Oryctolagus cuniculus: one gene and its partner. The protein of the gene in region 1 interacts with the protein of each later gene in a biochemical or structural test. Links are inferred from orthologs where the notes say so. Each region holds a gene or a part of one and is shown on either strand. Other genes may lie near its edges.

What was found.
Region 2: the proteins of PPP2R1B (region 1) and PPP2R2A form a complex in vitro, tested with the Homo sapiens proteins (2 studies listed by BioGRID). The link is inferred for Oryctolagus cuniculus from reciprocal best matches to the Homo sapiens genes PPP2R1B and PPP2R2A.

Annotation. Positions count from the first base shown.
Region 1 is NC_091432.1:103,721,894-103,726,380, forward strand, and holds the start of PPP2R1B (serine/threonine-protein phosphatase 2A 65 kDa regulatory subunit A beta isoform), read right to left. Parts: upstream 2,992-4,487; 5' UTR 2,948-2,991; coding exon 2,834-2,947; intron 2,053-2,833; coding exon 1,962-2,052; intron 1,550-1,961; coding exon 1,449-1,549; intron 1-1,448. Other genes in the region: alpha-1,2-mannosyltransferase ALG9, read right to left, coding at 3,308-3,497. UniProt on the Homo sapiens protein: The PR65 subunit of protein phosphatase 2A serves as a scaffolding molecule to coordinate the assembly of the catalytic subunit and a variable regulatory B subunit.
Region 2 is NC_091433.1:47,879,885-47,883,697, reverse strand, and holds part of PPP2R2A (serine/threonine-protein phosphatase 2A 55 kDa regulatory subunit B alpha isoform), read left to right. Parts: intron 1-2,293; coding exon 2,294-2,406; intron 2,407-3,679; coding exon 3,680-3,813. UniProt on the Homo sapiens protein: Substrate-recognition subunit of protein phosphatase 2A (PP2A) that plays a key role in cell cycle by controlling mitosis entry and exit. Involved in chromosome clustering during late mitosis by mediating dephosphorylation of MKI67.

The DNA of each region.
Region 1 (4,487 bases):
GGCTGGTGCTGTGGCATACTACATAAAGTCAACAGCTGCAGTGCCAGCATCCCATATGGAATGCTGCTGCAATTCTGATCAAGCTCCCTATTAATGAGCCTGGGAAAGCAGTGGAAGATGGTCCAAGTCTTTGGGCCCCTGCACCCATGTGGGAGACCTGGAAGAAGCTCCTGGCTCCTGGCTTCGCATCAGCCCAGCTCCAGCCATTGCAATCATTTGGGGAGTGAACCAGCAGGTAGAAGATCTCTGTCTCTCTAAGTCTTTCTCTCTTCTATGTAACTCTGCCTTTCAAATAAATATATCTTAAAAAATTCAAATACCTGTTTGACATCTAAATAGGAACATTACAGAAAGATACACACTTTCAGTGATAACTAGGTACAGTATATATCTAAATCCATATCTGTCAACTTGTGGGGTTCCATAAAGTTCAGAAGTAGACAGAAAGAGTAAGCATCAGACAGTAAAGTCCTGAAACATGTATCATATATCATATCTGTCTTGTCCAACTGTTGAAATCCTAGTCTTTTTAAGACTTATTTTATTTATTCAAAAGGTAGACAGAGATCGAGGTGGAGATCTAGATCTTACACCTGCTGGTTCACTCTCTCCCAATGGCTGGGGCTGGGTCAGGCAGAAGCCAGGAGCCTGGATCTCCCTCAGGGTCTTCGATGTGAGCAGCAGGGGTTCAAGTGCTTGGGCCATCATTCACTGCTTTGCCAGGCACACTAGCAAGGAGCTGGATGGGACTTGAAACAGCACTTGCTCATATGGGATCCTAGCTGATATCACAGCTGGTGGTTTAAACCACTGCACACGCTGCCCTACTCCCTTTGTAACCCAATCATTTCTTAAAACAGTTCAGACATCAACTGTTAAGAAGTCTCCCCTAATCACCTTAATTCTTTTCTCCTCTCTTATTTGGGTATCTTAAATGTGCTTATGTTTCCCCATTGAAGATTGTACCCTAATATTTGTGACCAAAAACAAAGATCTCATTACATTTGTTTGGCTTTCTTTGACATTAACATTGTAACTTACAATATGCCTCATATAGCAGGCCCTCAATAAATGTCAACTGACCAAAATCACAGTGTAAGTCAGAAGCAAAAGTTACACTATAAAGACAAAATATTGCTGGATGAAAAACAAGACTTCCAATTTTACTGGGGGGGAGGGGACCCATAAAAATAACCAAATCTTTTTTCTCTTTAAATTAGTAAGTCTATGGAGGCAGAAAAATAAAGAACTTCTATTCATAGAAAATAATAAGACAGGGTTGAATCCAAAGTGCTTACATTATATATTCTCTCAATGGCTAACACTATGAGCATCTATCCATAAAATGAGCTGCCTAAAATATACTGCTGTTATGCCTATCACCAAACAATGTATCATTTATACTGCAAAGGTTCTAGAAGGAGGGTAGGCAGCATAGAAATACTCACCAGCAGACAGTGGGCAAAGTCTGGACCTCCCACCAGGCCAGTGAAATTTCCCAACTGCTCAGCAAGAGCTAACAGTACCTCATCTTCATCATAAATTGTATCTGAAAAGGACAACAACCAGGTACTCACCAACAAGGTAACTGGCCAAGAGCTGGACACTCACATAAAACTAGCAATAGATTCAATATGTAAATAGTAAAAACATCCAGTCCCAATCCTAACAGTATTTTCTCCTCAATGAACAGTTTTCCTGGATCTGATTTACAGAATGAACTAGAAATTCATACCTTCATATCAGTGACTTCCCCATTAGCTATACACAGTTAATGTTTGTACGTATCTGGCCACAACATTACCATATGTGTTGTTGAATTTCTTTTGCACAGAAAATACCAGCCTCAATTTGGTGCTTTTTGATACTGTGGACAACAAACTCTGAAAAACAGCCAAAGCTCTGAAAGCCATTGGTAAATGGAAATGTCCGTGCCTTTCTTGAAACACAGACTCACACACCTGTAAGGAATGGCAGCAGTTCAGTTCTTGTCCTTTCTACTCCAAGTGCTAGAGCAATTGTTGATAACTTCTTAATACTGTTGAGTCGGAGCTTTACAGGAGAAAATGGAAAGAACAAAATAAAAAATGATTGCAATGTAGACCAAAAGGCAACAGGAGCAAACAGGTGAACTAACTAACAGGTCTAGGAATAAGGATAATCTTTCATTTACACTTCATTGGTAAGGAACAGTAATGTAACACAGCCTTATTAGCCAGAGGGAGGATTCCTAGGCCAAACTCTCTACAAGGGCCCGAAGAGAAAGGAATGAAAGAAAATACTCAGCAAGCGGGACAATGTTAAAAAGCCAGAACTCCGGCAGCGACGAAGCAGGTGAGACGGCTGAATACAACCTACACCGAAGCAGACACACCGCCTCACTTAGGTTCCTCAGCCAGGCCACCCGCTTTCTACCCAACAGGCCCAGCCAGTTTCCAGGCCCAGGGGAAGAGGCTGGGCTGCACCTCAAAGGGCCCTCTGGCATCCTGCGACCCGCAGGCCGCCCAGCTCCCACGCGGCCCGGCCCTGCGCCCCTCCCGAGGGCTCGCACGCTGGGCCCGCAACGGGGCGCCCAGGCGGGAAGCCGGCTTTCCGACAACAGCCCGGGACGGTCGGAAGCCCGACGGAGGGGTGCTGGAGAGGCCCCGCGGTGGGCCGGGGCTCGGCGCCACAGCCCCTCGCGAGTCTTTCCAGCTTCCCCTTCGAGTTTCTGCTCCGCGTCCGGCTCTTTCAACCTCCCGGCCTCCCTCACAGCGGCTCCGGGCTTCCCCCTTCCCTACCCTGAGCGACGCCGGACCAACCCGCCACGGCTCTCCCCGCCCCAGTCCGGTACCTGCACGTCCTCGTTGCGGAGTTCGTCGATTAAAACCGCGATCGGATATAGCGAATCGTCTCCATCTCCGCCCGCAGCCCCCGGGCCGGTACCGGGCCCCGCCGCGCCCGCCATGTTCTTTCTCCTCCGGATGGTCGCCGCCGCCAGCCCCCGCCCCGCGCCCCGCCCCGCGCCCGCGCCACGCCCCGCGCCACGCCCCGAGCCCCGCCCCGCGCCCGGGCGGGCGGGGCTGAGGCCTCGGCGCGGGCTCCGCGGAGGTGGGAGCACCGAGCCTCTGCCCCGCCGATGGAGGCTCCCGCCCGACCCCCATTGCAGGAGGCGGAGGTCCGAACTCCAGAAGAAAGGTGGGCTGTGAAAGCGAACGGAAGCCCAGTGTCCTTTCCTCAGCCGAAAGAAACAGGGGCAGGGATTCATCCTGCTCGTTGTGGTCTGAAGGAGGCAGGTACCTCCGTGAGCGATCAGTGTTGTGCTCTATTAGGACTCAGGCCGGCCAAAAAGGGTGTCCGAGGCCAGGAGGAAGAAGGTTTTAGCGCCTCCCCTGCCTTCATCCTGGCCCTGAGCCACTGGGTCTCCAGGCTTCATCTCTGCACTCAGGATCAAGCTTCCACAGAACCCCTCCACCTCTTCTTGAGCCTGCTCGCCAGAGTTGTATCTGGCTCCTACTCTGTAAGACAAATAACGCGGGCGGCGAGAGAAAATGAACAGTGCTGTCCAAACTCCCCAGTCAATATTTTTTCCACGCAAGCTGTTAAAAACATGCTGCTCTCTTGTTTTTATGTTTCTTTTCAGTTTGGTACTGGAATGGTGCCTTCTGTTGTATTTTCTTCCTCCCATTTTTTAGCTCTTTAGCATGCAAGAAGTACAACAATCAAGCAAAACTAGGACAAGCTCTAATCCTTGCAAACTGCGTGGAGTGGCTCCTGTGCTCCTTGCAAGACAGCCTGACGTGGCCTCCCCAGACCCGAGTGTCCTCAAAGGCGGCCCTGGGGGAACGTGGGGGTCTGGGAGTTTTTCCCTGCAGAAATTCAAGGGAAGGTTTTCATTTACCCGTGTTAGGGCAACACAGAATACCTAGATGTCCTGTCCCTGCTTTTGACTGGAATTCAAGTAATAACTACATAGGAGGACTACAAGCTCTGATATTTTTCTGTCTTATTAATAAATACGATTTTGAGCCGGCACCGCGGCTCACTAGGCAAATCCTCCACCTTGCAGCGCCGGCACACCGGGTTCTAGTCCCGGTCGGGGTGCCGGATTCTGTCCCGGTTGCCCCTCTTCCAGGCCAGCTCTCTGCTGTGGCCAGGGAGTGCAGTGGAGGATGGCCCAAGTGCTTGGGCCCTGCACCCCATGGGAGACCAGGAGAAGCACCTGGCTCCTGCCATCGGATCAGCGCGGTGCGCTGGCCGCAGCGCGCAGGCCGCGGCGGCCATTGGAGGGTGAACCAACGGCAAAGGGAGACCTTTCTCTTTGTCTCTCTCTCTCACTGTCCACTCTGCCTGTCAAAAAAAGAAAAAAGAAAAAAAAAGAAATGCGATTTTGGAGACAAATGTTGACTAAAAAAACACGGGATTCCCAAATGTAAACACAGTGAGTACAGCTTTTGATAGCAATGCAAGTGGGGACCAACAGACCTGAACAGTTTCCCTCAAATTAG
Region 2 (3,813 bases), on another chromosome or scaffold:
TCTCAGATTTTTTTATTCAAATTTTTTTATTATGTGACTTCATAGTCACATTTTTTACATCATCAGTTCTGAAATGTTTTTATTCTTTTTAATCTTTTGCCTTTCTCTGGATTTTTGCTAATTCATCCACATTAAAAAAAAATGTCAAACTAACCTGTTGACCGTGAGTTCTGAATACATGAATATTACAGTTTCTTAATAAATTGTTGGTTTTAGCAGCTTGTTGATAAAATAGTTGTTTAGGTCTTATGTAAATCTGCATTCCCACAAGAGAGACTTTGGTAACATTGTTTTCTCTGTTACAACTTTATGCTGGAGTCAGAAAGACAAAGGAACATGTGGACTTGTGGAACACTTGAGCTGAGCTATTAGTGTTGAAAATACAGGGAAATAGCACAGAGCAACAAGTTTGGAAGGAAGAGATCTCATTGAGAGTCTAATAATCCCTTGCCCTGAAAAGTGTATATATGAGGCTGGCGCTGTGGTGTACCGGGTAAGGCCACCGCCTATAGTGCCAGCATCCCATATGGGCATTGGTTTGGGTCCCAGCTGTTCCACTTCTGATCCGGCTCTCTGCTGTGGCCTGGGAAAGCAGTGGAAGATGCCCTAAGCCCTAGGGCCCCTGCATCCACATGGGAGACCTGCAGGAAGCTCCTAGCTCCTGGCTTCAAATCGGCGCAGCTCCGGCCATTGTGGCCAACTGGGGAGTGAACCAGCAGATGGAAGACCCCCCCCCCCTTCCCTCCTTCCCTCCCTCCATCCCTCTGTCCCTGCCTCTGCCTCTGCCTCTCCTCTCTCTCTATGTAACTCTGACTTTCAAATAAATAAACCATAAAAACAGTATATATTTACATAGTCTTGTGTACAATTTTATGTACTTTGATTATTTTCATTTACCTCGTCCTAAGGACCAAAAGCTTCAGGTTAAAACAAAACAAAACAGAAAACCTCTGTAGAACATAAGGATTTCGAAATTTTTGTCATTTATTAAATTACTAATTTGTTTCTAATCTGCCTTGTCTTCAAGGTACTGCACTGAAATGATGTACTGTCATCGTACTTCTGTATCCTATGTTTATACTCTTGAAAAAAGTCTTTATCCTCCTGAGCCTCAAAATTTATCAAAATATTTTGTTTTTGGTTTAATGTGTTTTAATGTCCAATTTTTCAGGAATTTAAAAAAGAGTTCTTCCAGCATTACACTATTAGGAACCTCAAACTAAAATTGTCTTATTTGAAAGTTTGGTCACAATTTGAAATATTGTGATTTATTTATCTAATCCTTAATAGAAGTGATGAATTTAAACAAGACACAAAACAGCTAGGGGATGCATCACTTAACTGCTGGAATATTACACACATCATTACATAGGGTTTAGGAAAAAATAATAGATTACAAGTTGCAAGAGTTAGGAATCTTACTGGGTTTAGAGCTTCATATTTCAGAAAGGTATCCATTGAAATAACTCGTGTTCTTCTGTAAGAGAGAGATAGCCAGACATAAGGGGTCACTGGTATCTTGAGTTGCTTTGAACTACTTTATAAGATGACTAAAATTGTTAGACCTTCTTACTTGTGAAAGATTGGAATGTAATGATTTTATGTAAGATGCAATTTTAGTATCACACAGTATTAACTAAATGCATATGTGTCTAGGGTAATATAAACAATTGAATAAGCATATGTATGTAGATAAAGAAGCGAGATATGGCTGTAATTTGATTTGAGTATTACAAAGAGTACCATTAATGTTTAAATTTGTGATATCTGCACTGTATTTTTATGTGTATTTTTTTTTAAGACTTATTTATTTACTTGAAACTCAGAGTTACACAGAGAGAGAAGGAGAGACAGAGAGAGAGGTCTTCATCCGCTGGTTCACTCCTCAATTGGCTGCAATGGCCGGAGTTGCGCCGATCTGAAGCCAGGAGCCAGGAGCTTCTTCTGGGCCTCCCATGTGGGTGTAGGGACCCAAGGACTTGGGCCATCTTCCACTGCTTTCCTAGGCCATAGCATAGAGCTGGATTGGAAGTGGAGCATCTGGGACACGAACTGGCGCCCATATGGGATGCTGGCACTGCAGGCGGCAGCTTTACCTGCTATGCCACAGTGCTGGCCCCGTATTTACTTTTATTCACCCAGTAATAGGAAACTTCTAATTAAGCCAGTTAAGGAATTTTATAAGAAAATCCTTTTTGGAAAAATAATGAAAATCACGCGTTTAAAATGCCTTAAAATGTTTTTGTTCTATCATTGTTACTACTTTTTAAGAACTTTCTTTATTCTTCTCCAGATAAAACAATAAAATTATGGAAAATTAGTGAAAGGGACAAAAGACCAGAAGGGTATAACTTGAAAGAGGAAGATGGAAGATATAGAGATCCTACTACGGTTACTACACTACGAGTAAGTATATAAAAAATGGTTATAATTTTCATGAATAGTGATCTGTATTCTTATCATATAGGCTTAGATTCTGAGCAGAACCTGAATAGAAATAGAGTTAACCTACACCAACAATTCTGTAACCAGGTAGGACTTTGAATAATTCCCATTTAAATACAAAAATTGACATACATAGAGGCCCCACTGTAGCCAGGGCAGGACTAGAACTCAAAACAGAAGGCTGCTTTACACTACACACTCCCGCTCTCATAGTTGGAATGTCAGCTATTACAAGATTAAGCTTCAAGATTAATTCTATTTGGAGACCAAAAACTAGGGATGGGCCAAATTATACAATTGTAGCTAAAACTGTCCAGAATTAAATGCTATGGAATTATTTCCTATTTAGCCTTAAATTGCTGTGAACTGTAAGTACTTGTTAGCATTGTACTTCCTCAAGCAAATGATTTTGAACCAAGAAGAACTGCAAATTCTAATAGTATTGCTGCCAGTAAAAGAAGGTGAATTGTGGGACATCAGGTTAAGCTCCTTTTTGGGATGCCCATACCCCATATTGGTGTGCATGAATCAAATCTCACCTCCACTTCCTACCCAACCGCCTGCTAATTTGCACCCAGGTAGGCAGGTGATATAATTCTTGACTCCTGACTTCAACCTGGCCCAGCTCTTGCTGTTGCAGGCATTTGGAAAGTGAACCAGCAGAAACAAGATATCTATTATTTTCTCTCTGTTCTTTCAAATAAATTTAAAAAGTAAATAAACTTTAAGATAAATTGTCCAGGAGCCAGGCCGTGGTGCAGCAGCTTAAGCTGCCACCTGCAGTGCTGGCATCCCATATTGTTGCTGGTTCAAGTCCCCACTGCTCCACTTCTGGTCCAGCTTTCTGCTAATGCACCTGGGAAAAGCAGCAGAAGATGACCCAAGTATTTGGGCCCCTGCCACCCCCATGAGAGACCTAGAAGAAGCTCCTGTCACCTGTCTTCTGGCTGGCCCAGCCCTGGTTGTTGGCAGCCATTTGGGGGGAGCGAATCAGCAGATGGAAGATCACTCTCTCTCTAACTCTGCCTTTAAAAAAAAATTAAAGATATGTTCATTTTCTGCTGATTTGAACAATTTAAGGAGTCATCATCAGTTCATTTTTAAAGCTAATCTATGTAATATTGTACCATTCTTTGTCCTCTCAAAAATTACAGTAATGAAGTGTTCTGAGCCTTATGTGCTATTTGAAGCAGTGAACCTTTTGTAATTTATTTTTCATGTGTCTTATTGACAGGTGCCAGTCTTTAGGCCCATGGATCTAATGGTCGAGGCCAGTCCACGAAGAATATTTGCCAATGCTCATACATATCACATCAACTCAATTTCTATTAATAGTGATTATGAAACTTATTTATCTGCAGATGATTT